Linked DNA regions of Drosophila melanogaster. Changing the gene in region 3 together with the main gene of any one other region gives a genetic interaction. Each region holds a gene or a part of one and is shown on either strand. Other genes may lie near its edges. The genes, in order: snf, sqh, ovo and mle.

The links.
Region 1: of ovo (region 3) and snf, changing one enhances a phenotype caused by changing the other (phenotypic enhancement), as found in Drosophila melanogaster (one study listed by BioGRID).
Region 2: of ovo (region 3) and sqh, changing one suppresses a phenotype caused by changing the other (phenotypic suppression), as found in Drosophila melanogaster (one study listed by BioGRID).
Region 4: of ovo (region 3) and mle, changing one suppresses a phenotype caused by changing the other (phenotypic suppression), as found in Drosophila melanogaster (2 studies listed by BioGRID).

What each region holds. Positions count from the first base shown.
Region 1 is NC_004354.4:5,305,877-5,311,768, forward strand, and holds snf (sans fille), read left to right. Parts: upstream 1-3,365; 5' UTR 3,366-3,477; coding exon 3,478-3,830; intron 3,831-4,255; coding exon 4,256-4,553; 3' UTR 4,554-4,625; downstream 4,626-5,892. Other genes in the region: CG42749 (uncharacterized protein), read left to right, coding at 3-119, 201-318; CG17764 (uncharacterized protein), read right to left, coding at 518-1,336; Cdk7 (Cyclin-dependent kinase 7), read right to left, coding at 1,886-2,881, 2,953-3,018; TrxT (thioredoxin T), read right to left, coding at 5,362-5,835. UniProt on the Drosophila melanogaster protein: Binds stem loop II of U1 snRNA. It is the first snRNP to interact with pre-mRNA. This interaction is required for the subsequent binding of U2 snRNP and the U4/U6/U5 tri-snRNP. Plays a role in regulating sex-lethal splicing.
Region 2 is NC_004354.4:6,221,546-6,228,352, forward strand, and holds sqh (spaghetti squash), read right to left. Parts: upstream 3,596-6,807; 5' UTR 3,462-3,595; exon of another isoform or gene 3,152-3,461; intron 2,976-3,151; exon of another isoform or gene 2,866-2,975; intron 2,613-2,865; exon of another isoform or gene 2,572-2,612; 5' UTR 2,460-2,571; coding exon 2,040-2,459; intron 1,967-2,039; coding exon 1,862-1,966; 3' UTR 1,516-1,861; downstream 1-1,515. Other genes in the region: Efr (ER GDP-fucose transporter), read left to right, coding at 1-895; dtn (detonator), read left to right, coding at 4,630-4,675, 4,895-5,187, 5,255-6,370, 6,432-6,637, 6,699-6,807. UniProt on the Drosophila melanogaster protein: Required for cytokinesis, could regulate contractile ring function.
Region 3 is NC_004354.4:5,045,554-5,052,622, forward strand, and holds the start of ovo (ovo), read left to right. Parts: upstream 1-2,719; 5' UTR 2,720-3,577; coding exon 3,578-3,989; intron 3,990-7,069. UniProt on the Drosophila melanogaster protein: Transcriptional regulator with essential functions in the germline and soma. Plays an essential role in regulating the formation of apical cell extensions such as denticles and aristae, and initiating cytoskeletal remodeling during epidermal differentiation.
Region 4 is NT_033778.4:5,973,362-5,983,582, forward strand, and holds mle (maleless), read right to left. Parts: upstream 7,418-10,221; 5' UTR 7,334-7,417; coding exon 7,258-7,333; intron 7,199-7,257; coding exon 6,682-7,198; exon of another isoform or gene 6,340-6,681; intron 6,277-6,339; coding exon 5,958-6,276; intron 5,317-5,957; coding exon 4,626-5,316; intron 4,108-4,625; coding exon 1,829-4,107; 3' UTR 1,733-1,828; downstream 1-1,732. Other genes in the region: BubR1 (Bub1-related kinase), read right to left, coding at 137-532, 596-922. UniProt on the Drosophila melanogaster protein: RNA helicase component of the male-specific lethal (MSL) histone acetyltransferase complex, a multiprotein complex essential for elevating transcription of the single X chromosome in the male (X chromosome dosage compensation).

The DNA.
Region 1 (5,892 bases), 260 kb from region 3:
AGTGACCAAAAGTGCATTGGCGCCCCAGCATTCCGTGCCTTGCCGGGCATCGACAACTGGTGCGAGATCAATTGCCTGCGCTATCCGCCCAATTGTCCGGAGGACGCCTGCCAATGTCCGTAAGTATGCACATGAATAATATGTATCTAACGAGATACATACATAGCAAGTTCGAATCTAAACCCATATCAATTGCACAGTCAGGAGTGCGTGGCCATTGGCGAGTATGCTGGACAGGATGGTGCCGACACCTACTGCATGGACAAGTGTCTCAACTATGAATCGGAGTGTCCGCCGGACAGATGCCGCTGCTACTAAACCGGATTGCGAGCCACAGCTGTGCTGCCCACCCATTGCCCATGCGGAGGATGCGAGATGCGATATGCGAGATCTAATGAATTGAATTTAATCGAAGACACTGCTCTAAATTGTTTGAATTTCAATGGCTTGGCAAGGGGGGGTGCCTCCGTTTGTTGGGCTTTCCGTTTCAGTTCTCAGGCGTCACCGCAAGCCTTACTTACTCCCTCCTGTACGCGTCGTACAGAAAGGGTCGGGTGAATGCCTCGAGCAGCTCGCGCTGTTCGCGCAATCGTCGAGTCTGCGCCATCGGCGACTCAGCGATGTCGATGTTCCGCCGGGCACGGAAAAGTGCCGATACCGTGCTGCCCAGCTGCTGCCAGCGTTCGAAGGCCCGGGATTCGGTGTGCGGCGCATCGAGCATTACTTTGGACGACATCACTGATGCCGACAATTCAGCGATCTGTGCAGCAGCAGCAGCAGCAGCAATGTCTGTGCTGTTGGTTTCCGGTTGAGGTTGCTGTTCAGATTCCAGATTGAACTGAGATTGGGACTGGAGGTCGGGCTCCGTTTCCGGCTCAGATTTGCCAGGAGATGGCAAGTCAACGGACAGCTCATCGGGTGGCGGCATTGTCTGACTGAAGATGAGCACCTCGGCGCGCTCCTCGCGAGCATCATCCTCGCTATCCTCCAGGGGCAGGGCGTCGGTGCTGCCGCTAACTAAATCCCGCACGTGCGCAAAACTGGAAGCGATGCGACGCAGTGAGGGGTCATCCTTTTCCTTTTTCGTCGGCATTGCCGGCGCATCGGCATTGGTTTCCACCGGCGCCTTCTTGCTGTAGGCAGCATCCATTGTGGTTGCTTTGGTGGCGATGACATCGCCGGCATTGGTCGTCTGCTTCTGGCGCATCCTATGCAGATTTATGCTGGAAAATTTGTTACCATAGCTTTGACGCATCTCGGCGCGCTTGCGACGCGCCTCCTCCTCCGTCCTGGCCGCCTGTTGGTCCCTGGCCATCAGTTGCTGCGCCTTTGACATCGTCTAACTCCAAACAGGAAAACGAAATACGGCAAATCTTTAGTTAACACTAGCAAAAAGGAAAAAAAAAAAAAAAACAAAACAAAACACGGACCGAAACGAGCGCTGAGAATTTCGAGAGTTTCAAATGTGCGTCGATTGACTTGGTTACCAATTTGTTTTCAGAAATATAAATACGGTAGCGTGCACTGGAACAGCTTTTGCACAACCTACCAGGATCCTATGTACTACTAATTAACTACTCAATTTTCGCTCGCTTTCAATCACATCTTTAATAGATCATCCTCAATCATCTTAAGCATAGTCTTAACAACTCATGTTGGGTGGCGAAAAGGTTTTGCCAAGCGAGAAAAATTCATATCAATTAGAATGGAGTGGAGCTTTTGGAGTGGATGCAATGCATCCTTAAGCCTTTCAATAGAACTTATTGTGCATGTCTGCGGTGAACAACGTAACGCGATCACAAACATCAATGTTATAATGGAAAGTGTGTGTTAACTGAGTGAGTGTGTGTGGGTGTGTGTGTGTGTGTGTGTGTGTGTGTGTGTGCTAGAACTGCAGCCGCTTCTTCTGGGCCAATCCATTGCCCCTCACCGTAGTCTCGACCAGCTTGCGCTTGAGCGCAGGCTTCGTGTCGCCGGTCTGCGGATTGGCGCCCTCCTTGGCGGCCAGAATGGCCGACGGCATTGGCAACTTGGGACCCACTGTGGGCGCCGGTTTGTTAGCGAAATACGGCATGCTCAGTGCCTCGCGGCAGGACACACGCCGCAGCGGATTCATGGCAAACAGGCGTTGCATCAGATGGATCAAGTCATTGCCCGCGGCGGTGAATATATTGTCCAATGGTGTGCCCGGAAAGTTGCGAAACTGCAGATAGTCGTGCAGTTTGCTCAAATGCGGCCATTCAGCTTCCGTGGGTGTTCCCAGTGTGGAAAAGATCCGTGTCAGCTGATCCAGATCCGAATCGCCCGGCATGAACGGCACTCGCAGCATAAGTTCAGCCAAAATGCAGCCAACTGCCCACATATCCACACCGGTGCCATATTGTCGGGCGCCAAAGAGCAATTCGGGCGAACGATACCAGCGTGTGACCACGTGGTGCGTGTAAATGCGATTGGGCGAACCGAAGGACTTGGCCAAACCGAAATCGCCAATCTTTAGGATGCCATCGCTGTTGACCAGCAAATTGTTGGGCTTCAAATCGCGGTGCAGTATCCAATTGAGATGCAAATACTCCAGACCCTTTAGCGTCATGATGGCATAGGCCTTGATGTTCGCCTGCGTTAATATAATCTTGTTATCCTTGATGATCACCTCCAGATCCGTGTCCATGAAGTCGAAAACCAGCGAGACATTCGAAAGTTGACCGAAAACGTCCACCAAGCCAATGATATTCTCGTGCTGCAGCTCCTGCAATATCTTGATCTCACGCAGCGCTGTCCTGTTGATACCGTCGCGTGCATCCTCGCGCGATCCCTTCTTGATCTTCTTTACGGCCACAATTTGGTTGGTCACCGTGTCGCGCGCCTTGTAAACTGTGGCAAACTGCGGTGCGAAAGTGGAATGCGCACATTGTTATGGATCGTTGGGTTGATATTCCGTGGCGGCGGACTCACCTGACCCTCGCCGAGGAAGGATAGCTTGGCATAGCGTTCCGTTTTGTCATTCGCATTGGGCAGCATCGTTTAGGAGCCTCATAAATAGCACGAAAATGACTGAAATGCTGCGAGGCCGAATCAAAACAATTCAAGTTCGCAAACGCTATCGATGGCCGATAACCGATGGACGCCGGTAGGGCCTATCGCGCGCCCCAAAAAAAATACTAGATTTCAGAGTCTATTAAGAATAATGCAAAAACAGCGTATTGCTCCTTTATTGCTAATCAATTTTATAGTTTAACAAGTTATGCAAATAATACACAACTGTCAATTTAAATTAGCTGCATGTGATTGTCATTTAATTTTAGCTACTTTTAGCTATGTGCAGTTTAACAACACTGCCAAACACCGGTGCGATAACATATCGATAGACCGCCCCAAACGATGCCTTCTGCTATCGATGACAGACTCGTTTTTTTTCTCAACAATACAGAGCAAATTGGTTGATTTTTGTCGAATTAAGTGAATAAAACGCACGACAGGATGGAGATGCTACCCAACCAAACGATTTACATCAACAATCTGAACGAGAAGATCAAGAAGGAGGAGCTAAAGAAGTCGCTCTATGCGATTTTCTCGCAATTCGGCCAAATTCTGGACATTGTGGCCCTAAAAACGCTCAAAATGCGCGGCCAGGCATTTGTGATCTTCAAGGAGATCGGCAGCGCTTCGAATGCCCTGCGCACCATGCAGGGCTTCCCGTTCTACGACAAGCCCATGCAGATCGCCTACTCCAAATCCGATTCGGATATTGTGGCCAAGATAAAGGGTACCTTCAAGGAGCGCCCCAAGAAGGTCAAGCCACCAAAACCAGCGCCGGGTACCGATGAGAAGAAGTGAGTATCCCAATTGCTAATTGGGCCCGTTTAGATTCAATCATTTGTTGCCAACGGCCATGGTGCTACCATTTGTTGCTCCCTGTTGCCTCGCAAAAACCCAATGTTTTCATTCGCACGCCTGAAATCCTTTTTGCTACTAAAAACATTTCCGCATTAACCAATGTTAGTTTTTGGCCAGAATTATGGACTTGAAAACCAAGAGGTGTCTCAAGTCTTCATAATATCTTTAGTTATCAACTCCTTTTTGCTCTTTAATCGATGCGATTTGAGTTTCAGTTGCAAAATGTTTCATTTTTGTTCATTTTTGCGCGACAAAAATCCGTAGTAATCCTAGTTTTCTGGGATGTGCGAATGACTAGGCAAAAAAAAAATGCAACTTCATGTGACACTAAGACAACTCCTTTTTTTTTCGTTTCGCACAGGGACAAGAAGAAGAAGCCGAGCAGCGCCGAGAACTCGAACCCGAACGCACAGACCGAGCAGCCGCCGAACCAGATCCTCTTCCTCACCAATCTGCCCGAGGAGACCAACGAGATGATGCTGTCCATGCTGTTCAATCAGTTCCCCGGCTTCAAGGAGGTGCGTCTTGTGCCGAATCGTCACGACATCGCCTTTGTGGAGTTCACCACCGAGTTGCAGAGCAATGCCGCCAAGGAGGCGCTGCAGGGCTTCAAGATTACGCCGACGCACGCCATGAAGATAACGTTCGCCAAGAAGTGAACGCAACTCCAGTCGCCGGGCGTTCCAGCAACTCCAATAATAATTTAAACTATAGAATAAATCGATATAAACAAACAAACTACGAGTATTCCATATGCCCATATCCCTCCCATATCCCATTTCGCCCAAAGATCCTTAAAGGCAAAAGTATAGAATAGAATAGTTGATTGTTTATTGTGTAGATCTATTTGTTTGTCTGCAAACTTATAACTAACAGCTAGTAATGCGTATTATTTATGTCGGTCGATTGTACATATTTCCATTTAGTGTATAGTATATGGTGTATAGTAGTATATATATATATATATATAGCGTCCCTTTGCTCAGTCTGCATGGTGTATCAAGCTCGCTGCAAAATCAACATCAGTTTGGTGTGCGGGAGCGTGTGTTGAGTAAGTCCCACAAGTCCTCGGATTCCCAAAATGTTTGCTATATGTAGAATCGTTCAGCGACGTAGTCCTCCTCCGCCGTAACAACATCATCAGGCTTACAATTGTAATGCAATCATCATACTTTAGGCACCACAAATGATGAGTATTATGAGTGTGCATAATAAATCTGGGATAAGTGTGTGTATTATATATATATATATATATATATACATCGATAAGTGTGTGTGTGTGTGTGTGTGTGTGTCTATGTATATATATATATATATATCTATTGCTTTCTTCCGTTACGTCTGTTGAATGATGAGCTGCAGGAGAAGGAGCAGGGAATCGGTTATGTGACCACAATGCTTGCACTCCGGCAATCGTACTTACATACATATGTTGTCGTTATGTTCGGAGTGTAATGGTACTTTTGCCTAGTGCTCCAGAACGGCATTCTCGTCGTGGGCGGACACCTCATTAACGTTGTTGTTGTCGTTGTCGCTTTCACTGGACTCGGCGGTCAGATCGACAATGCATTCGCCATCGATATGGACGGCCTTAACGTCGGCCGCTTCATCGGTATAAACGCCGGCATGCTTCTCCATCAATTTGGCCAGCTTATCGGAATTGCAGCCAACGAAGAGCTCCAGCACATTGCCGCCCTTGATGAACACAAAAGTGGGCATGCTATTCACATTGTATTCGACCGTAATGTCCTCGTTCTCGTCCACGTTCACCTTGAGTACGACGACACGGTCCGAGTACTGCTGCGCCAGTTCGTCCAGCTTGGGTGCTATTATCTTGCAAGGTCCGCACCAGTCTGCATAAAAATCAATTACCACCAGCTTGTCCTCGGCGAGGATTAGCTGCTGGTCAAGATCGTCCTTGTTCCGCACTGGGTACACCATGACTTTAACTAAATTCCAAACGGATTGCAAATCGAAACGAAACAAAAAAAAAAAAAA
Region 2 (6,807 bases), 1.2 Mb from region 3:
CTCCAAGTTCTTTACGGTGCGACCGAAGATTGCGCTGAAGGACTACGTCATCCTGGTGGCCCTGTTCTTTGGGGCGAACGTTTGCAATAACTATGCCTTCAACTTTAACATACCCATGCCGCTGCACATGATCTTCCGTAGCGGATCACTGATGGCCAACATGATCATGGGCATTGTGCTGCTGAAGAAGCGCTACAATCTGCGACAGTACAGCTCCGTGGCCATGATCACGGCTGGCATTATATTGTGCACTCTGGTCTCCAGTGGCGATGTCAAGGATAATACACATCACAGCCTCAAGGTGGATACATCCTACTCCGATTTCTTCTGGTGGACGGTGGGTATTGGCTTGCTGACAATCGCCCTGCTGGTCACCGCCTACATGGGCATCTACCAGGAGGTGATATACAAGAAATACGGCAAGCATCCCAGCGAGGCCTTATTCTTTACGCACATGTTACCTTTGCCCGGTTTTCTGATCATGGCCGGCAATATAGTCCAACACTTTGGTATCGCATGGTCATCGGAACCAGTGGCCGTGCCACTGCTGGGAGCCATTGGACTGGAGTGGAAATTCCCGCTGATGTTGTTCTATCTGCTGTGCAACGTGGTCACCCAGTATGTATGCATCAGTGCCGTCTACGTTCTGACCACCGAATGTGCATCGCTAACCGTAACGCTGGTGGTCACCCTGCGCAAGTTCGTCTCGCTGCTGTTCTCGATCATTTATTTCCGGAATCCATTCACCCTAAACCATTGGGTAGGCACCATCCTGGTATTCTTCGGCACAATACTCTTCGCCAATGTGATCAACCAGGTGAGGGACGCCTATCGGGCCAGGTCGAGCCGGAAGACCCACTTCGACACCGCTCCGCTGGCCAAGAAGGTGGAGTAATCTTCGCGGGCTGTGATGGTTCCTGCTGCAGAGGCCATTAACCATTAACCATTAATTTGTAGTCGTAGCGCCTTGTTTGTACATAGAATTTGCCTAGTGTTTAGACGCCTCTTTGTCTGGTTTGTAATTCTTGTGTCCGTGTCTTTCTAGATTTTCAAATGTTCGTGTTTTCTTTTAAATTAATAGTTGTCCAAAAAGTGTGTAATATACAACGTTGAGTGTTTCGAACATTAAGCCATCTATTTAATTGATTTTTTTTTAAATAAATTCTTGAAAAACATATATTTGCAGAAGCTGAAATATCTTCGAATCAAAAATAATGTGAGATAAGATATGAGTTTGCAAGTTCGAGTCTTTTGGACATGAACTCATTAGTCAGCTTGTCGAAGATTCCAAGAAAATTTTGACTAATTTCCGAAATCTCTTTCAATTTCCCGCCACATTTGAAGCTACATACACTTATCACATCGTGCTAGTGATCATGCTTAATTAGCCATGGGGGGTACATATTCCAAAGTTTCCCTTGTTTGATCAGTTGCTTTTGGCTGAAGGATTTCTGCAGACATCTGTTTGGTTGGACGTGCGCACGTTCTCGAGTGTAAGAAAAACAAAGGTTTATTGCCACATTCTTGTATAAGTATGTATTTGTATATAGGTAATATATATGTATATTCAATGAGTTAATACTTATGAAAGGAGTTTTTCGGGAAATCGTGTTATCTGGCACCAACATCTCACACACTACACTGTCGTACATAACAATCGCTGGTGTTGGCTACTTTTTGTTTAATTCAAATGCACGGATAAGTACAGGATTATCAGGAATCAAAGAACAGAAGGCGCGAAACCAAAAAAAAAAAATATTTATACTTGTATATATTAAATTATCAAAACGAAACTCATGATGGATAGTTTGGACAGGCTGATTGGAGAGGCAGCTGGCTAGTGAATCGACTGCTGGCGATCTTACTGCTCATCCTTGTCCTTGGCACCGTGCTTAAGGATGCGCGTGAATTCGAGGTAGTCGAACAGACCGTTTTTGATGGGCGCCTCCCGATACATCTCGTCCACCTGTGAATGTAAATGGAAAAGAAGTTGTAAGGGCACACTCCGACTTGATATCGTAAACAACTTGACAACATACATCCTCGTCTGTGAACCGATCACCCATGGTGGTCAGCAGCTCCCTCAGGCGATCCTCGGGCAGGACGCCCATATTCTCCTCGTCGAAGCAGCCGAAGGCGTTCTTGATCACATCCTCGGGATCGGTGCCCTGCAGCCGCTCGCCGAAGAGCGTGAGGAACATGGTGAAGTTGATGGGCCCGGGCGCCTCGTTCATCATGCCATCGAGATAGTCGTCCGTTGGGTTCTTGCCCAGCGAGGCCAGCATGTCGTGCAGATCCTCCTTCTCGACGAAGCCATCACGGTTCTGGTCGATCATGTTGAATGCCTCCTTGAACTCGGCAATCTGCGCCTGATCGAACATGGCGAACACATTGGAGGTGGCGCGTTGGGCGCGCTTCTTGGTGGTGGCGCGACGTCCGGCGGTCTTACGGGATGACATGGTTGCTGTTGGATTGGTGGTTCTGATGCGGTTAATGGAGCTAAATGGAGCCGGCCTATGGAGCTGGTGGCACTAGTGCTTCGCGCTGGAGTGATGTGTGTGCGGCGTGGATCTGAAATCGAAAAACGCCGACTCACATTAGCATTTCGTTGGCCGGGTATGTATTTATGGCTATATATAGACATATTGCAGCGAATTCCGCTGAAACCGATTTTCATTGCTCCCCAAACAAACTGTGTCAACATACAGTGGACGCTCGCTACAGTGAGTACACCATGCATATGCTTATCACAACGGAAAGAACATCTTATTGCTGCTCTTTAAGGTTTTTTAAGGAATGAAGGTTTGGCCATTGCCTAAAATGGGCGAACTACAAATTATATTTATAAATAAATAGTTTTAATACAGTTTTAGGCCAGAAAGGATAATGCAAAAGCAGTTCGATGGCTCCATGCTTCCGCTACAGTTACAAGTCCACCTTATCGGGCGCCCACTGTGAGTACGACTCATGCACGCACACATGCGCAGCTCTCTGAGTCACTCGCGCAAACGAAAATGACACGTATGGGAGTTTCGCTCTCGCTCTGCGCCAGTGCGTGCATGTGTATGCGAGTTTATCAATGCTGTTGAACTGCGGTTAACAAAAACAACATCGCACACGTATTTGGCTCATTGAAAACATTCTCACACACACTGGCACACGCATTTCAATTAAAGCCTTAAAAGGCCAGAAAAAAACCGCAGTTGAAGCACCCAAATTCACTCGAGAACTCAAGTTGGGCCAAATGTTTGCGACTTCGTTGATTTATCACTTTCGAATGGACATTTAAATGGAATTATAGCACAAAAACAATTGTTTTCATTTGCGCGCTGCCGACGCTGACTCATACGCATACACTAACACACACGCACACTCACATAGGGCAGCGCCCTTTGGGAGTTCAGTTCGTTTATTTTATCGAATATGATTGCTTGATTACGCCTGATTTGATTCATACTCACAGCTGCCGAATGCCGAGTGTTTAATACTATCGAAGTTTCGTTAATGCAACTTTCGACCAGCTGCACTTTTGTCTTTTATAATTTCGGTTCGACGAGAAGGCCAAGTGTGACCAGCATAGAGGCGGTTTCAATTTATCAGAAAATACCGCAGAATATGCTAAAAATTACTGTGCAAAAGTGCTAATTGTTGGAGCTCCTAAAATAAATAAATATTAAGACTATAAATTATATTATAAAATATAAAATTATATTACAAATGTGAATACTACTGAGACTAGGACCATGGCTATTAGAATCCTAAAAACCTATTGTCAGTTGTGCTACCAGATCTTGTTTTAAAATATTCGTTCCTAAGAAGCTCTTTTCTTGTAGAATCTAAAGTTTCTCAAAAAATTTTCTTAAGCAATCCCAATTAATTTTATTTTTCTTTATTCTTCACTGTCAAACATGGTATTTTTTTTTTTTTGGTATTAACTTTTTGAATTGCCCGCGTTCTGATTGGAGTTTCAGGAGTATGCGCACAGTCTGGCAGCCCCATATTACAGCACTTCCAAATACGGTAGTACCACTATCTTAGGATATTGTTTTCAATACGGTATGGACACACTGCAAAGTGTTTGGAATGTTCGATATTTGTGTAAAATTCTGAGAGACCTGAATGAAAAGAGGCATGCATTAGGGCGTCGAACGAGGGATTTTCCAGCCCAGCAGATCCTTGCCAGCGCGTGAAAAGCGAGTCGAGTGAAAAATCGAATCGATTGGCACGGTTGCGGTCCAATTAATTTCGAACTGAACTGCGCGATTTGCAGGAGAAGATGTGTCTATACCTGCATGTGCATGTGTATCTGTGTGTGAGGTGGCCCACGGCTGTGTGTGTGAGCAGCGTGTGAGTGTGTGTTGGTGTGTGGGTGTGTGGGCACACTGGAAAGAATCAATAAAGGATGTGCTGCGGATTGCTGAGCGAGAAAAAAGGACGAAAAGTGCTAGCCAGCGCGAATTAACGGTTGACTTTTGGCACGATTAACGGAATAACGGTCAAATAAGCCACACAAGCGAGAGAACAGTGAAAATAACGAAAGTGCGGGCACAGTTAATTAGCAAATTAACGAGTGGGTGGGCACAGGATTTCAGGATTTCGATATATTTTGGATTCCTGCACACGAACAAGATGATGAGATACTGCCTCATAATTGCTTTGCAGCTGTCGTTGGCATGTAAGTATCAAATAAAGTTTCCAAACCCAGGGGGGTGGTACAAAAAAAGCGATGGAGTGGGAGGAGGGAGTAAGCCAGTGGGAGGGGGATAAAGGAGGAGTGGGTGACCTCCGGGTTTAAGAAAATCCCCAACCCCTATGTTACCATTACCAAAATTCAACTAATTGACTCCTTCATCTACTCCCAACCCATAACAAATCCATGCCGAATCCTCGCCAGACTCCGTGGAGGTGCACTTCGAGGCGCCGGACAGCGGCTTCTTTCTGAAGCACGCCCGCCAACCACCTGTGACGCCGGAGATCGCCAATGTGCAGACATCCTCGGCGGTGCCGCCGTTACGGCAACGATCCTCCTATGATTCCGTGTTATCTCTGGACAGATTCACTGTGGTCGAGACCACGCAGCCGGTGTCCATACGCGCCAGCTATGGACCGTTTTCCACGAAACAAACGGTGCCAGCCCGCTACATTGTGCCGGACACAATGGACAGCCAGTCGGGCGATTATATGAACGTGAGTTATCCCCAAATCCTGGCAAGCAACAAAAGGACGCCTTGTCATACCACTTTCTCTCCCACAGAATGCCACTCTACTGGAGCTCCAGCAGCCAAATATGCACCTGGACATATCCGCCCATTTGGTTCGCTCCAGTGTATCGCAGGATGCTCCCGTGCTTCGGGTACTATTCCACGCCGGAGCCGATCCGGGTGGTCATTTGCAGCGCCAGAAGGTCTGTGTACTCCTGCACGTGGCGATGGGTTCGGAGCAGCCGCTCAAAGGACGCTGCATGCCGGAGGGCGAGGACGGTGTCTGCGTAGCCGAAGTGGTCGTGCCCCTGGGCTGGTGGCCCCAGCTGCCGGCGCCCACACAAGATGGCAGTGGTCAGGCGCCACCCAAAGTACCGCAGCGGTATGCCCAGGTCTCGTACAGTGTCTTTGAACCGCCTTTGCGTAATCCCGAGCAATGCGAGCCGAAGGTGCAGATCCAACCGTTGACCACATTCGCCCAGGTGCCTTTGTTGGCCGCCAGGACTCCCTATCGTATGTTGCGCGCCGATGATGCCGTCACCTTTCTCCTGCCACAACATCCGCTGTATCCACTCTCCCGTCTACATGTGCCCGTCTTTTTACATCAATATCCCGATCAGCGGGTGGCCGCCTTCACTGTGAGAGCTCGTGTTAAGGCGGGCTTAAAGATTCTGGGCGCCACCGCCTCCACAGACCAATGGAGCGTTTCTGTAGAGAAGGAAAATCCCAAACACACTACCGCTCGCGTTACTGCTTTCCGCAAAGAGGCCGAATCCAGTCTGGAAAGTGGTGGCAACCTAACCAGCGAGGTGTTTGAAGTATTCTCATGGCTGCTCGAGGTGGCCGAGGACACCAATGATATTGTGGACGGTGGCAAGATTGTGTGGTCCGTGACGCATGTCTATGACACGCCAAAGGACAAGGATTCCGGGGAACTGGTTATACCCGATGACAACAAGAAGCGACTAATTGCCAAGCTGGAGATCAACAAGGATGACATTCAGGCGGTGCTACCGATGGCCAAAATCTGGGAGGTGATGAACACGGCGGTGCTAACGGGCAGACAGGTGGCCCAGGCGATGAAGGTGTTCATCGTTTCGCAGGCAGGCAAGGTGGCCGATGTGACGCTACAGAGCTCCTGTCACGCCGAAGATGAAAGTGTAATCAAGGTGCGTCTGATGACTGTGAATCGTGCAATTGCTAGCTAAATAACCAATCAACTTCTTTCAGGTCTCCTCCTCCTGCAGCTCTGTTTATGTGGATGGCTCCGAGCAGCGCGGCTCATCCAATGCCTCGGTCATTGTCAAGTATGGCACCTATGTGGGCGTGGCCAAGTTCATCGTTTGGATGCCCGAGTTTCCGCTGGAAGTTTACATATCCGATTTCCGTCTCTCCCAAATCAAAGGATGGAAAGTAACCGATGACAATCACTATCTGTAAGTTTATTATCCTGTAGTTTGAATATCTTACTTATCATTCTTATTCATTGCATGGCAGACACAACAAGCAGTCTCGTCGAAGAAAGAAGAGATCCTACGTTTGGGGTCAGCATGGAACGAACTACTATAACAATCTGGGAGCGGACAAGACGATTTGTCGCGCTCGC
Region 3 (7,069 bases):
TTCTTAAACACAGCAATTACCCAGCGAAATGGGCGACGGCGGGCAAAGAGGGGTGGGGGGGGGTGTCTCTCTGCCCGTGGAGCAGAAGATGCAGACACTAACAACGAGAAAATTCTGTTGGCTCCGTGGGCCCTCTTCTACGCCCATACCGCCCCCTTCTTGGAACGAACCCCACCCAACCTAAACAAGAACCCAACTACCAAAGCCAAAGTCAAGGCATTAACAGCCCAGTGAACACACTCACACACTTGCCATGTGCAATTCCACACTTACGTACATCGGTATAGATGTATACATATAGACAAGATATATATATATATATATGGATCTGGCAAGCAGTGTCGGTCGTGGTCTATACCTTTGGTGGCCTAGGTCTGGGCCAACAACAAAAACCAGCTCGATTCTCATTGGGTTCGCAATCAAGAACTTGAGATTCGCTTTTGGTTAGAGATCTCGATCCACTATCTGAACTTTGGGCTTATATTATAGTCGCTTCAATAACCATTTTAGAATAATAAAGCTTTAAACTAAACTAGTTGCATTTTAAATTTTCGCTGAGAGTTTTAACTTACTTTTTATCTGCAAGGGTTTCAATTAGATTCTGAAAATAAATCAAAGAAAATCAATTATTATTTCGTATAGAACTATTTGCAAAAAATATATAGACATAATACAAATTCTCGCTTTCAAGAACATTCTATGTACACAATGTACATATAATCAAATCTTTTAGTACAACCAAAATCTGTGCATATTTTCGTTCTGGACCAGAACACTTGCATTTTGGCCAACGAGCGGCTTTTTGAGTGAGAGTGAAGTTGGCGCAGGAACAATGCAGCAACAACAACGCAGGGGGGGGGGATGTTCTTCAGAAGGCTCCACCGACCGAGAAGAAGAAGAGCCAACGGAAAACCTCTACTAACGCCAACATCATGACATTAACATTGCCGCTGCCTCAACGGCAAAGTCACAGTCAAAGCCAAAGTTAGCAACAGGTTTTCTGTGCCTGCCACTTCGGCCTCAGATTCTCAGAGCCGCTCTTTCTCCAATTCTCTCGCGATACACATCGATGCACGGAAATAAAATGAGTTTCAGATAATTGAATTACAAATTCTACCGATTATTTTCAATCAGAGGCCAACATTTTAAAAATGTGTTATTTCTTAAAATTTTAACTTGATATGAAATTAAAAAAAAAAAGGATTAAGTTGATCCTCAGTTTTATGTTATTATTCTATTAAGTTTTGAAGGGGCAGCGCACTAATTTCTTATGGTGCACCTCTCTCACCTGCGAACGAGGCTTCGTTTTCAGTTTCGGACGTGAGTTCGTCTTCGTTTTTACCTTCGGCTCGTTGCTCTCTCTCTCTCTACCTCCGCACACCAGCTCAAAGTTAGCTGTAAATTTGTTACGTCGCCGCAAAAGAGCGTATGCGTGCGTGTATGTATATGAGTGTGTGTGCCACACAGGTGTGCGACGCTCTGAATTCGCCGTCGCTTACATCACTTGCTCTCCATGTGTGTGTGTGTGTCGGTGAAATAACGTTAGTTATCCGTTGGCAGCGCACCTGTGCGGGTTGAAAAGAGATGGAGCTAGGCCTTCTTATTTGCCATTCTAAGCGCATTCTAAGCGATCTTCTCTCACACATACAAACGCATGCGCACAAGGATTTAGGGGAAGGAGAGAGCTGGTGAAAGAGAGAGAGAGAGAATGAGACGCACACCTGAGAGCGAGAAATGCCTGCGTTGCCAACTATTTTGCCGTTTAATTTCGCTTATATGGGTACATTTTTCCATCTTACTTGCCGCTGTTGCTTCTTCTTATTTGGCTCGTTATTTCTTCTTATTGTATTTACCGCGGTTCTCTTTCCATCGTTGTACACAAACACACTCGCACAGATATAATAATGATGAAATTCTTCAAGGGCCACAATCATGCCTCCTTTTTTGGGGTTCTTTTTATCGAAAATCAAATGACTTAGGAAACAAACTAGCCAGAATATTTAATTATAATTAGGAGGATATTTAAAAACATTATTTGCAAACTATTTCATTTAAACAAATCGTTTTAATAATTGATATCTATTGATAGGCTTAAGAACATTTAAGAAAAATATCTATTTAAATTTAGCTTTAATTCAATTATTTTAAGATGTGCTGTAAATACAAAGTCCTTAGTTCGAAAGTACAGTACAAAATTAACAAAAAATGACCGGAACATAAATATTTATATTGAAATTTTTCTAAATTTTCTATTAATTTGCCAATCCAACCAAATTCTAAGTACCACAAGTACAGCTCGCGGTATCGGGTAAAAACGATCTCAGCCGGCAAATGGCCAAGGCGAAGATTCTTGATCATGAGCGTGATCATCATTATCATCACTACCTTGACTCTGAGGAGGGAAAGAGAGGGCGCGTCAGAGAGACAGAGAGAGAGCGCGAAACTGCATGAGAAACGTTATGTGAGCGAAATGAGGCAACGCACACAAAACACTCTCACTCTCTCTCACACAGGTGCGCTTGGTTCGCCGTTTCGCCGCTGTTTTTCTCACCTGAGCAACGGCGAATATCTCGTTATTTTCTGACTCATACGAAAGGGAAGTTTCGCTCTTTCTCTCTCTCTCGATTTACGGTGTTTTAAATTCGCCGTCTAACTGAGTTTGTTGTAGCGGCGAGATCGATCGGTTGACTTTGGTTTGGCCTAACTGACTACCTCGAATACAGTAAGTTGCGAGCCGGCGTTGTGAATGCACGTGTTTTCGCTTAACTCACCTGGGCGAATCCCAAAGACCAAAGCAAACCATTAAACTCACATAAAACAATACAATTTATAAAAACGAAAACACTGTGTTGTGCATCAATCAATATAGTAATATATTGAATTACATCCATACAAAACAGAAACAAAATTTTTTTTGAGTAATATTTTTTACAAGTGCGCTGAATAACACAAATAAATCAAGAACCCAACAAGTGTTTGAAAACCCAAAAAATAAATTGGGAAAAACAAAAATTTCTCATAACCGAATATTTTTTTTTTTTGAAAACTTGGGGGAAAAATCAACACTTTTTTCGACAAGTCACCGAAAACTTAAAAAAAAATTGATTTTTCAAAAAAAGAACCAAGACTCGACACTGCCGAAAAGGCAATATTTTTCAAGTACATTTTTTCGAAGTGTTTTGACAAAACAAAGCAAAATTCTCGAACCAAAGAACAAAATCACGAAAGGACACCCCAAAACAATCCCTCAATTATAATTGACTTGACTTTGACTTGCAAAGCCGAAGAACTTTCAAAAGACATGAAGAGGGCAAAACAGAAGTTAACTTGAGCTCGGCTCATGACCAAATCAAAACTGAAATCAAGCAATTTTTTTTTTTTCAACACAGTGGACGAGCGGCGAACAAACATACACACACAATTGGATTAGTGTTTTGTTTATTTCGGACCCACTGTAACTGTCCCTCGTCCACCTGAAAATACGAAGAAATTCGTCGCCTCCTTGAATTCGTCGCGTGTCGCCGTCGCGTTTCGTTAAATCGCTTATCGTTCATCGCAAATCAACCGATAATCCATCATGCCGAAGATTTTCCTGATCAAAAATCGCCTGCATCAGCAGCAACAGCGCTTGCTTGAATCGCAAAACTTGCTGCAGCACAAGAATCAGGATGATGAGCGCTTGGTGCCGCCCCTCAGTCCAAGTGGGAGTGGTAGCGGCCCCTCGCCAACGCCCACATCCCAACCACCACCGGAACCGCAAGGTCAGGGGCAACAGGTGCTCGGACAGGTGCCCGATTCAGATCAACAGCCACTGAGCCTCACGCGCAAACGATTCCACCATCGTCGTCACTACTTCGGACAATCGCGCCACAGTCTCGATCATCTCAATCAAAATCAGAGCCCGAATCCAAATGCAAATGCAAATCCCAATCAAATACAAAATCCTGCGGAATTGGAAGTCGAATGCGCCACTGGCCAAGTTCAAAATGGTAAGTTGAACTTTTCTAAAACAGAGTCTAAAAATCTTTTCGCTGCCTTATACATAAATACACCTTTAGGAGCGATTAAATTTCCGTTTGCCAAACCGTTGTCACATAAATGCGTTCTGTTACTTGTTTGGAATACTCGAAGCACAAAATATCAAAGAACAACGCAAAGAATTTTAATTTACTTGGATAAATAATTGCTACAAATCTGTCAGTCAGTTTTTTTTTTTTTTTTTGGCCGATGGCAAATCGGCTGGCAATACAATGCGCCATATCTATTGCCTGGAAATCTTTTCAAATTTCAAGCTTCACTTTTGGGCAGCTTTTGTTATTGCTTTTCGCCCACACCATAACGAACTCGTCCCCAGTGTATCTTTGTATCTTTGTATCTATATCTGCCCTGTCTATCTTCCATTCTCCAAAACGGAGCTATGGGTTTACTTCGACATCAATCACTTTCATTGAATTTCGTAAGCGTATTATTTCGTTTTATTTATTTTTTTTTTTTATTTTGCCAAAAAAGCCAAGCAGAGTTCTCATGTCTCTGTTCTGATCTCTGTTTTCTGTTTTCAGTTTTCTTTTTATTTTCTGTCTGTTTCTGTTATATAATCGCCCAGCATGCTTATTAAGTCATTTCGATTTAGGCGGTGGTCTTAGGTTAAAGGTTTAAAATTTTCATAAATGATTAGGCGAGAAGAACTTTCTTCGTTTTCGGGGCGAGTTTTATTAATTAAGTTCTTTTCGATTTTATTTGAAAGTGAATTTCGTTCAGCGTTCTTTTGGCGTTTTTTTTCGCTAAAGTCTTTTGTTTCTAAGCATTTTTTAACTGCCCTTTGTCTGGCCTTAATTATATCTATATTTTTATGCAACCATTATGGCTCGACTTCACTTCAAGAGTAGCTTCTCTCACACGCAGCCTCATAATTTTGCCCCTTACGCAGGCATTATATTTCATGGTTATAGCTTATATATATTATTTTCACGGAGCGCGTAGTTGAGTGCTATATACAACATTTATTAAATTAAATAACATGTTACGTTCTCGGTTCCTCCCGGTTTATCGCCAAGCCAACCAAGTTCCCTTCATCATCTCTATCGCCCATCCACTTAAAAATGTATTATGAACGCTTCCGCTGTATAATTTTTATGAGTTCTGCGGATATTGTAATGGAAGTTATTTGAAGGGAAATCGTTTCGCAACGTTATATTCTCAAAGAAAAAATTTTTAAATTGGATAGAATTACACAGAAGTTGGTGAGCTCATCGGATTCGCATAACTTCATAACTAACACTTTGAAGTTTTAAGTTCCAACTTTGATCAATCTATGCAGGATTTAATATTATTTAGGTCTTGCACTCTAAACATGTGTTCTCATGCTGCTCTGATTTCAAAGAACCCTCTGGTCACACTGCTTGTTCACTTTTTTTTTTTTTTGTTCAATTACCGCTCGCTGTTCGTGTTTTTCTTGGCTTTAGTGGGCTGTGCCCATGGCCAAGAACTTCACACACTTGAGCGCACACTCACACACTAGAGCGAAGCTAGAACGAACGAAAAAAAAAAAATTATATAACTACCAAAGTACAAGGTACTAAAAGCCAGATACAAGAAAAAATCTCCTCTCAACCACGCAAAAGTACAAGTTTTGCCAGAAGATGAAGAACCAAAGCCAAAGCAAAAAGAAACGGAAAAAGAAAAAGAAAAGAGTGCGGAGCAGAAAAAGAACTTCATTTTGTTTGGTTTTGCAGCCTAGACTTGAGCTAAAGTTCCAACTACACACAATGACTAAGAAGATCATCATGACGATCATGAGAGCCAAGTTCAGTTGAGGAGGTGGAGCAGGAGAAGGTGGTTTGGGGATGAGGACGTTGGGTGGGGTGCATTGTAGGTACGTCGTCTGCCATTTGGCCTAAGCAAAGTCAAGGCAACTGGCCATAATAAAACTTGTAGAACCAGTCGAATTGAAGACTGGGGAGAAGAAACTCACCAGAAGAGGCAGGAAAGGCAAAAGAACAGAGCTTGTGAAATGCTAAAGGGCCTTGGAGGATGAACATTGCTACAGGAGAAAAAGCAAAATGCGAACCAAGATGCTCGAGAAAAGCGAACCAAACCGAACCAAAACGAACCGAACTGAACTTCATGCATATATGGACAAGAATTCCTCCTAGTTTCTTCGCCCGCCACAGCTGGAAGTTATGAGCATAACTTCCTGTTACATTTTCCTCTATCTTCAGTCAGCGATCTTTATGCCGCGAATTTCTCTCGGGCCACTAGTAAAAGTTAATAAATAACCGAAAGGAAATTCATTGATCGACCGATCGGCGATAAGGAAATTTCCAAAAATAAAGGAGAGCGATCAATGCAAATTCTGCAGCTGTTAGAACTGCAAGTTCAATTGCACACACAGAGCTTACACGCAGATGTTGCAATCCTCGAGCGGAAGTTAGCGAAAGGTTCCCTTAAAGACCTCGCGACCCTTCTCCAGAGACAAGTTCAGCGAACCCTCTCCAAACAACACTCACCATCTCAAACAAAACCAAAAAAAAAAAAAAATAAACACAGACGACGACGAGTCAAAAGCAAAAGTCAAGTGGTAAATGAGGTAAATGGTAAGGTAAATGCAAAAAGAGAAAGACAAGGGGGCAGTAGTAACAGAAAACAAAACCCAAAACCCATTACTTCATAGTGCCAGTGCTGAGATTTTCTTCGGAAATCAAATCAATTCTATTGTTTATTCAATTAAGCGCTTGATCCCCCAGACGATTCGCTCTCCGATCTTCAACTAATTGAAATCTAGATGGGCATCTACACTTGATTGCGCATATGTAAATGGAATGAATATCAACTGATGAGAGCCTTTTCTGCATTGATTAATCAAGCCTCATATGGGTAACCCTTTTCATTATCAAAAACCATATAAGAATATCAAATGCTCTGCTTAAGAAGAAAAAAACCCAGTTTAGCTACATTTAAAATGATAACAACTAAATGATAATGGCAAAACAATTAACACACAAATTTATTTGAGTAAACATACTTTTCAAATTGCATACCTTGGAAGGTAGCTCAAGTTCGCAACCTTAGT
Region 4 (10,221 bases), on a different chromosome or scaffold from region 3:
TCTGTTGTTTCTGAATTCTAGAGAAGATAGTCATTAAACATGCATCAAACATAAGTTATAAAAGCAAAATTATACTTGAAACCGATTTCTCTAGCCAACCAAGTTCTTTGTAAACATGAAATAAAAAATCACCCACCTGAACCACGCCTGGGAGGCCGCTTTTAACTGCTGCTCCGGTACGGATGCTGCCCACGGTGATGCTGTTAGAGATCTGCTGCCGGCGACCATGAAGTGATTGCAGTGCTAGCCGTCGCTCGTTAAGTTCCTGGTTTACTGCGTTGGCCTCTTCACCAGTGCTGTAGAGCATGCGCTGGCCCACCGTATAGCCAAAGTGGTGGTGGGCCTCCTTCAGATCCTCTAAGGGCTCTGCGCGGCACTCTAGACCTAAGCGAAAGATCTCGTCGGCCTTGCGCATGTTACCGCTCAGGTCGTAGCTGTAGGCCCAAGCAATGTAGAAATCTGCCAGCATTGTTCCGATCCCGTTGTTGTACATCTGCTGATAAAACTCGATCTTGTCCTTCTGTTTCTCCATCTAAAAAGTGACGAAGTAAAATCGGTGGTTGAGTGATCGTTTAAAATATCATCGGCTACTCACGAATTTAATGAAAAGCTTTATAAGCCGCTTGTCCTGACGGTAGCGCTCGTCGTCTTCAAATTTGGTGAGGCACTGGTGTAGGACAGTCTGCAGACCGGAGCCACTGCCCCCCGCCGGATAGCTCTGCTCGATCCAGCAGATGAACGTGTACCAGGCACCGAGAGGATCCGCGCCTTTGTAGGTGCGCACCTCCTCCTCCATTTGCTTGCGTTGTGCCAGCAGTTCCTGGCCGTGGGTGGAGTCCTGGCTAAGAGAAGCCTGCAGAAGGCTCACATTGCGACCGCTGGCCAGCGGCTGAATGTTCTCTTTCGCATTGTCAAAGTCCATATCGTTCTCCTCAAGCAAATGACCTGAAACTTTTGGTTGTCTTGTATCGGTTAAACAAAAACTACGCGCCGAAGCAAATGCTAGAGATGAATGATACTACGCTCTTTCGATATTTTTAATTGTGTCGTATCGATACTTCGATTGAAAAACTGTTCTCACTGAAGCCGAAATACATACGATAAAAATTGAATTGCTTAGCAACACAACGTCATCACTGACCACCACTTTTAATTGGTAACGAAGCTCACCATCTTGACCAGTAAAAAAGAAGCGTAAGAACAGCTTACTCCAGTTACTATTACATTTCTGGTGCTCCTCAAATCTTTGTGATCTAATATTTATTTGATCAACTTTCATTATTGCTTCGAAAATTATGATATTTTAAAATCACCGCCATATCTGTACAATAATTAATTTTTCTTTTCCCTTCGAGTTTTGATAAGGCACGAAATATGTTTTGCATATATATGGCTTTTTATTGTATATATTGTTGTCATGACATATGTTTTAAAAAGGTCTAATTGCGAAATCAGTAATCGTCTAAAATGCTAGCAGAGATAAAAAATAATGATTACACAGGTTCACCAAAAGCCTTTATAGAATGAATGTTTTTGATCTCATTTTGTGACAATAAACGATTTCCACGCCTTCACAAACGAAATTCCAGCAATATATGTATGTATGCAACAGGTTAGGGAATGTCAGCGGAACTATCATATTTGGTTACTATTTACATACGTTAACTCGTGAATCTATTCGGATCGCACATGCGTATTTAATGCCAAAAAACCAAAAGATTCAATGCGTCTTATTTGTATAATCCCTTCAGCATATCGAAATGCGAATAGTAATGTTTATTATTCTTTTTGTTTTTGAAAAAACCAATACATTTTTTTTATGTATCCGTTAAAAGTTACCCCAGCGGCCGCCTTGGTCGCCATTTCTAAAGCCGCCGCCTGATCCTCTATTGCTTTCAAATGAGTCTCCAAATCCACCTCTCTTGTTCCCATATCCTCCGCCATTGTTTCCATATCCTCCACCATTATTTCTATAACCTCCGCCATTATTTCCATATCCACCATTATTTCCATAACCTCCTGCATTATTTCCATATCCTCCTCCAATATTTCCATATCCTCCTCCATTATTTCCATATCCTCCTCCATTATTTCCATATCCTCCTCCAAAAGTTCTGCCGTTTCCACGGCGACCAAAGCTGCTGTTAGTAAAGCGTCCTGTCTCAAAGCGACCTCGTTTGGGCGGTCCTCCGCCGTCACTGAACTGACGTGATTGGTGCGGCAGAATTCCTGATTCACGCTGCAGTCCGAAGTCTCCGGCGCTCTTAACGCAAAGGTCTTTGACCACTTTGACCAGCTGTGCATAGGGCTCCTCAAGGCGAAGTATGTCGGAAGGGTTGTCGCACGCCACCGTGATAAGATCCTCCAGGGCCGGCTTAAGGGCACCAATCTTGGCCGCAAGTTCCGGCTCTATGTCGAAGTTAAGCCAGTTGTCAACGCGCACTATATTGTTGGCGGCCAAGTCAATCTTGCGCGATCCAAACAATATCACCTGCAAGGGCGAGACCATAGATAGTTGCTTGCAGGAAACAGCTCGCGTGCGAATCTTCTCGCCGAAAACGAAGAACGGATACGGAAATGTGACGGCCAAGTTGCTGCAATTCACCGAGGTTTTGTGCAGTAACGCTGCTTTAGACTCTGTAGTCAGCACTTTGCGCTTCTCCTTGTGCACGCAAATGTTGGGGTAGAGACCCAAGCACAGCAGCGCCAGGGACACATCCAGCACGGGGTCATCCCCATCAATCCTTTCGTCTACCTCGTGCGATATCATACACTCTTCTGGGAATCCTGCCTGCTGAAGGAGATCCAGTAACTGCTGCTTGGCATCCCAGATAACGTTCATAGTACTCATTTGCAGTCCTTTCCAGTCACAGAACCGAGCTTCCATATGCTCACCGCGTTGTTTCTCGCGCCGCCACATTTGTGAAGCTACAATCATTGCCACGTGGTCGGAACATTTGGTACCACTCAACGCTTTCTGATGATTTGCCAGGCGACGTTGACCTATATCAAGACTAAACACCTCTGAGAAGGTGCTAGAGTACGAAGCCATAATGGCCATTAGATCGGCGCAGCCAAATACTGCGCCGAGGACCATCATCTTTCCAAGTCTTGGTTCAATTGGGAGGCGTGCCAGCAGGCGCCCCAATGGAGTAAGTTCATCGTTAGCGTCAAGGCAGCGCATCTCGCGAAGCAACACCTCAGCTTCGATTACTGCGTCTACCGGAGGTGGCTCCAATGCCTTTGACAAAAAGTGGTGAATGGAGCCCAGTCTGAGTAATTTAATGGTCAACGCCATCTCGTGCAACGGTGTGCGGAACATCTCCGGCGTAAGATTGTCCTCTAGCGCTTGGAAGCGGGCACGCGAACAGAGTGTGAAGCAGAAGCCTGGTCGGACACGTCCAGCTCGGCCCTTGCGCTGCTCCAAATTGGTTTTGCTTGCCCAAACGGTGGCGTAGCTGGTTAGGTTGTTATGTGAAGTAAAGAGCTTCATGCGCGCCTTACATATATCAATTACGAAAACAATGTCGTCAATAGTTATAGAAGTCTCTGCAATGTTGGTAGAAAGTATAATCTTGGTTACGCCTTCTGGAACAGGCTCGAAAACCTTGCGTTGCTCGTCTCGTGGAATCTGCGAGTGGCACGGCAAAATTTGGTATTGGGATGTATCACCAAAAATGTTTGTATTTTGCAGAAACTTCATAAGCGCAAAGATCAGGTTCCAACCGGGCAGGAATACTAAGATAGCACCGGGAATATTTTTTGACTTAATATGCATCAATAATGCCTCCAGCAGCTCAAAGCTAACGTCCGATTCGGATAGCATGGCCATAGCATTTCGAGTCTTTTGTGAATACTTGTCCTCGCACACCTTGTTATAGTTGATTTCCGCCTCGTCCTTGTCCTCGGAAAGCAATTGCTCCTCGTCCTCCACTTCCTTGCGCTTTCGGCGCGACTCCGCCGAAGGCACAAAGTCTGTCATCTGAATAATGTCCTCCAAGAAAAATTGCTGCACGGGAAATGCTCTTCCGGGTACTTCCAATACGGGACAGATGCCAAAATATTTGGAAAATTTCGTTGTATCAATAGTGGCCGACATAAGAATAACTGCAATAGAAGAGTTTCTATTAATTATAGTGTTTTCTAAAAGTCATATCATATTAAATTAGGACTAGAAATGTATGACCCGTAATGCATATAAGTTTTAAGTTCTGAATAGTAATTTTGTTGGGCATAAGTAATTTTGGCAAGTCAACTCTACATTAAATATGAAACACAAACAATTGGCAATGCAAATTTTCAATGGAACAAACTGACAAATCGACTATTAAGAACATAACATATACACTCTGGGCGGATCCGGTACAAACAATATAATCATAATCTTCATTAATTAAGCCAGTGAATTAGTGCAAAATAAGTTATTTTCGCGGCTCAAAATCTGCTCAACATTGCTTTTTATACATGTAAATGTATGTATATATACAATACATATATACAAATGTATGTATATATAAATATATAAGTATAATCAACAATTGTCGAAGAGTTTCACCCCAAGAAATTTGAATGCAGGTTATACATACGGATTTATGTTAGAAATATTGCACCTTATTCGAGCTTACCATGCAGGTCCGGATATGTGTCGACCATGTCGCGAAGGATGACCAGCAAAAAGTCGCTGTTCACGTCTCTCTCGTGGATTTCGTCCACAATAATATGCGACACTCCTCGTAAGCCAGCCTCCAGCTTGCGCAGCAACACACCCACGGTGCAAAAGAGGATTGCGCCGTAGGGTCGTGGAAACACAGACTCAAATCGCACCGAGTAGCCTACAGTGTCGCCCAATTGCTCGCACCGCTCGCGAGCTACGCGCTCGGCCACAGAAATGGCTGAAATGCGACGAGGCTGGGTCACATAAATATTAGCGTACCCGCCCTGGCCGGAGCAGATGTAGTCATCAAGAATGTATTGGGCAATCTGGGTAGTCTTTCCGCACCCTGTGTTTCCACGAATGATTACCACTGGATTGTCATTAATTGCGGTTAAAATTTCCGACCGCATCGCTGCAATGGGCAGCTTTTCGCGGAACTCGAGGAATTGTCGGTACTCGTTGTCGTTTTGGCGGCGATCACGCAGCGAGCGTTCGTAGTCCATCGAAAGGTCATCAATAGAGGTGGTTGCCAGTTCGCCTTCGTCGATGTTGCAGGCATGCCACGTATTCCAGTTTGCCTGAGGAGGAGCCCACGGAATCACGGAGCTTTCCTGACGTTTTTCGCCATCCTGTTGCGAGGAATCTATACGGCTTAAGTTCACCTAGGAGAAAATATTTTACATCGTACACTACATTTTTTGTTCGCAAAAAAAAGGTGGTTTGGGTAGGGCAGCGTATTCCTATGCTCATATAGTAAGGGTATGAATGTAAGAGATAACAGAAATAATCTTGTTCAAGATCACTAGCCAAGTCTATCACAACAAAAGCTTGAAAGTTAAGATTAAAGACGCAGATTTTAGTTATGCTAACGTAGCGTAAAACCTTCTTTGAAATATCTTTTGAACACAGAATTGGATTAGGTCGATTATGGTGTCTGTCGACGCGTATTGAGAGCTATATATAGAAAAAATACAAATGTTACAGCCAAGTATGCAGTACAAATTAATCGAGTTAAAGTATTTGCATTGTTGTTTCGGCATATCAAATATTTTTGAGGGACTGAACGATGTGGGAGTTACTAGCGTATTCCTAAGTATATGACTTACGTAAATCAATATAATAATATATACTTTATAAAGTACTGTTGGATGTCATCAAGAATATTGAAACCGGTATACAACATTTAGCTAATAGTCTTTGTCTGATAAAATCTCTAAACTGTTTTTTAATACTCTGAGATAAGAAATTTAATTCAAATTGCTGATACATTTTTATTTTAGTTTTCTAGTTTCGTATTACTTACAATGAGAGGAATCGGAGGACCGTCCAGTTCGATTTTGATATTGCGCGGGTTTACGACAGGAAGGTCCAAACCCTTAATCACCTCATCAATTTTGTTTATCAGATTTGGCGAAAGCTTCACCGGATATGGCTTCAGCTGCTCATCCTTTTTTTTCTTCAGAGTTCCACTAAAGGGCTCTATCACATTTAAATGGAAAAGTTGGCGCACCAGGGACAGGGCGCATGACTTGCTGGCAGACTTCTTGTTTGAACCCGACTCACGGGCCGTCACCGTGCGATTGAGCGCCGGCACATAAATGGACAATTCGGCCAAAAAGCTCCTACATTAAAAGAACTTTTTGAAAAAATCTGGACTGGTAATGTAGATCAAATCCGGAACTTACCCTCGGGCTATCGTGGGAGTCTACGGACTGCTGAAGGAGCCAGCCGACAGAACGGCGTGGTACTAATGTGTTAGACGCAGCTGGAAAGTCAGCGCTTGAATTATTGTCAGCTAAGCCGCGTTGCATGGGCGTCCGTTTTGCTTACAGACCCCACGCAAGGAAGCTGGACGTGGTTCTTGTAGTTCGGAGTATCGTACCACATCGTTCTGCCGGCGCTGCTCTGCACAAATCAAATTGGTCACAGCCCGACATGATTATGGGCTGCATTTCAGATTTGGCCGTAGGCCATATTCGGTCAAATCCGAAATGCAGGCCGAAGAAAGTTGAAAAGGAAGCACATACCTAGCGTGTTCCGGGCCCACTGGTGTATATTTGTAATCGTCGCGAATGTTGTTCGTCTGCTTGTAAATGTTCAGTCGCTCTTTGGCATTCTCTATGGTCCAGTTACCGTGGATGGCAGCGTTGACATCGAAAGCCTCCGCTTCGTTCATGTCCCTCTGCTCCTGGATGCGATCAATTACTGAGTAGCGGTTACCGCCGTCACCGCCATCGTGGTTTAGAGGGCGATAGGCCTCACCCAGATCCTGTGGACCCGACTGACCATCAAACACTCGCTTCTGCTGTCCACTGCCCCCTGCCATGCCCGCACCCTCCAGACCAGTCCTAGGTCCGCCCCCCGAAGCACCAGCATCCGCTGGAACATCATTGGTGTTCAGTTTGCCCACGCGCACTAGGTAGTTGACAAAATCACGGCACGCATTTTTCTCGGCATCCTTTTTGTTAGTGGAATTACCCACACCAATATAGGTATTTGGCTCTACACGAACCTCGCAAAGGAACCGCTGGCGATTTTTGGGACCTATAAATTAAACTGCTACTTGGGAAACACGCCTGGGGGAGTGCAACATAACCACTTACCCGTTTGGCGAATATCAAACTTTGGTTCTATTTGCGACTTAGCACAAAATTGGTACAAAAAAGATTTTATATCCATTCTTAGATTTTCAATAAACTTTCTATCAACTACGGAGCTCAAATTAAATTTATTTCTTTTGTGATGTCTATTCTGATATCGATTAATTTTTTTGTTGCTTTACAAAACACTAACGCGTCTTGAATCGCCTATCAAAATAGGAACGGATAAAATAGAACAGTGTGTGTAGATATAAAAACATTTAATGTAATTTAATCTAAAATAAAAGAAACCTATAGAGAGACTTAGACATATTTGTATATATTGCACTATAAATAAACAGACAAATTTCTTATATATATACTTTTATTTATTTATTTAAATATAACGTAGAGTATAAAATTTTAAGGTAACTGAAACCTAGATGCATTAGCAGCTAGCACCTTCCATTTTATATTTTTTAAATTAGGTTGGAGCTTTTTAAAAAGTTTCTAATTGTGTTGATGTCAACTGTTCTATGTGGCGAAAGGGAAGAACAGTATGCTAGGATGGGATTAACGTCTAACTGGTTGCAAAGAGCGCATATAAATACATATACATATATATGGGGGACCTGTTCTTGTAATGGTCATTTGTAAGGTTGATGTGATCAAGCCTGAGACTGTTAATAAGAAATATCGTTTTCCTGTTGTGTGATGTGGTGTTGTTGAAAGGAGTTTGATGTGGTATGTTGAAGGATGAGCTTGTATCAGGGAGTTATGTTGTAATGCAGTTCTGTTTGTTTTGAATTGACGTATATGCCTATGTGCCGAGAAGTCTTTTATGTATAAGTAATAAATGAAATATTGCAAAACAAAAGAAACGGAATTCCAATTCAAATTGGTAGACGAATTTTGAGCCGTTTTTTGCGTAAGATGTGTAGGACAGAATATTATCGAATAATTGATATCATATGACTATGTTATGCCCTTCAATCCGTCAAGAAAGATTCCTCATATCATAGCAGGTCTTAGAATCCTTAAATAATTTACGCTAATTTACGATGAAAAAAATAATAATCAGCATAAATAATCATATATTAAATAGTCATTTCTGGCACCAAGAAGACCACTAAACTTGACCAGCGACACGACCATTGATTTCTGTTCAAATAAAAATATCCAAGCTGTTGAAATAAATTAGTATTTTAAAGATGATGACTGAAATTCAGTATTATAGTATATTTGCCCCAGTCTTTTGGTATTTCTCGAGTCCGCGTACTGGTCACACAGCTTTTTGCAACGCGATGGGAAAAAGAGGACGATATTTGAGTTAAAATGTGAATACGGATGCCAGCCCAACTAAATAATAGTGCAATCGCGAGTCACCCATTTAATCGCCTAGTTTGAATTCTTTTTTGCGGCCCCAACGCCGGTACACAGCTGGATTTTTGTTGGTTGCCAGCAGTCCAGCATCACGCACACCCACACGAGCAAATGTAGATAAAAGTGAGAAAACACTCACGCACGCACACACACAGGCACACGTTTGGTCGTGGGCAAGCATTTAATTTCGTTAGTGCCCAGTAAAACAGAGTTGAGCGAAAAGGCGATAGCAACTTGCACAAATTGTAAGCAGTGCAGAGAGTCAGTGAAGAGGGGATCGAGTGAGAGCGGCGTTTAGTGCCAACACCCAAGCGCTGATCTCGCAGCTACAAACAATAAACAAACAGTGAAAGTAACAGTAAACGCAAGCGCTGCAATTTGGCTTCCATTGATTGCATTTAGTACTCAGTCTCGGCGGCAGCACAACTACTCATCCAACAATGGGTAACTGCCTCACCACACAGAAGGGCGAACCCGACAAGCCCGCAGATCGAATCAAGCTGGACGACCCGCCCACCATCGGAGTCGGAGTGGGCGTGCCACAAATCCCCATGCCCTCACACGCCGGACAGCCACCGGAGCAGATACGTCCGGTTCCCCAGATCCCGGAGAGCGAAACGGCAGGTGCCAACGCCAAGATTTTTGTCGCCCTCTACGACTACGACGCCCGCACCGACGAGGATTTGAGCTTCCGCAAGGGAGAGCACTTGGAGATACTGAATGACACGCAGGTGAGTTTTGCTACGTTCACACGCACGCCTTATTCGCGAACAAAAAAGTTGGCGTTTCCTTATTTGTAATTAAAAACTCAAAAAATATCGTGCACACAAAAGAGAATTAAACTTATTTTCCAAATATATGAATTTGTATTGAAAATCAGTTTTGGACAGATATAGAATGTTCATTCGATAAAGATATTATTTATTTTGTTAGACTAAATATGACTATGCAACTTTAAAATAAAAACAAATTAGACAAGAGTGTAGTTGGTCGAATTTTGTCCTGGCAGCGTTTTGAACTTTTACTTTATGTACTATTTTGGCTAACGAATTTTTAATCGATATAGCAGAGGTAAAATTCAAATTATTAGCTTTTTCTGTGCGGTTGAGCGTCGGACATCCTAATTAGCTAAGATGAAATAAAAAAATAACTCTCCGGTGTGTCCCATAATTCGGTTATTAAAGGTATACTGATTGAGAATTAGATGACGTCAAAAGCTTATGTGGAAACGCTACAGGTATCTCCAATGAAACTAAAATATCGCCCAAACACAAATAAATTAACTTGCAAACAATATATAGATCGCTAACAGCTCGCGTTGAAACAGAATGTGAGTGAGTAAGCCGATAGGTAAGCTATTTATGTTGGTGTAAGCAAAAGAATGCGAGAGAGTGTCTGATAATAAGTGCAAATCGCTTGATAACGGCGTTTGTAGCATTTTTCTTCTTGCTGTGCGGTTGAAGGAACACCTTCTCGCGTTTCCAACTACTTTCATATGTTATGGACGCAGGCACTATCACAAATCCCAGGGGTACATTTGATAAAGCAATTCATAGCATTAACGACAAAAAAATCATGAGTTAAAATACCGCGAGAATCTAAATA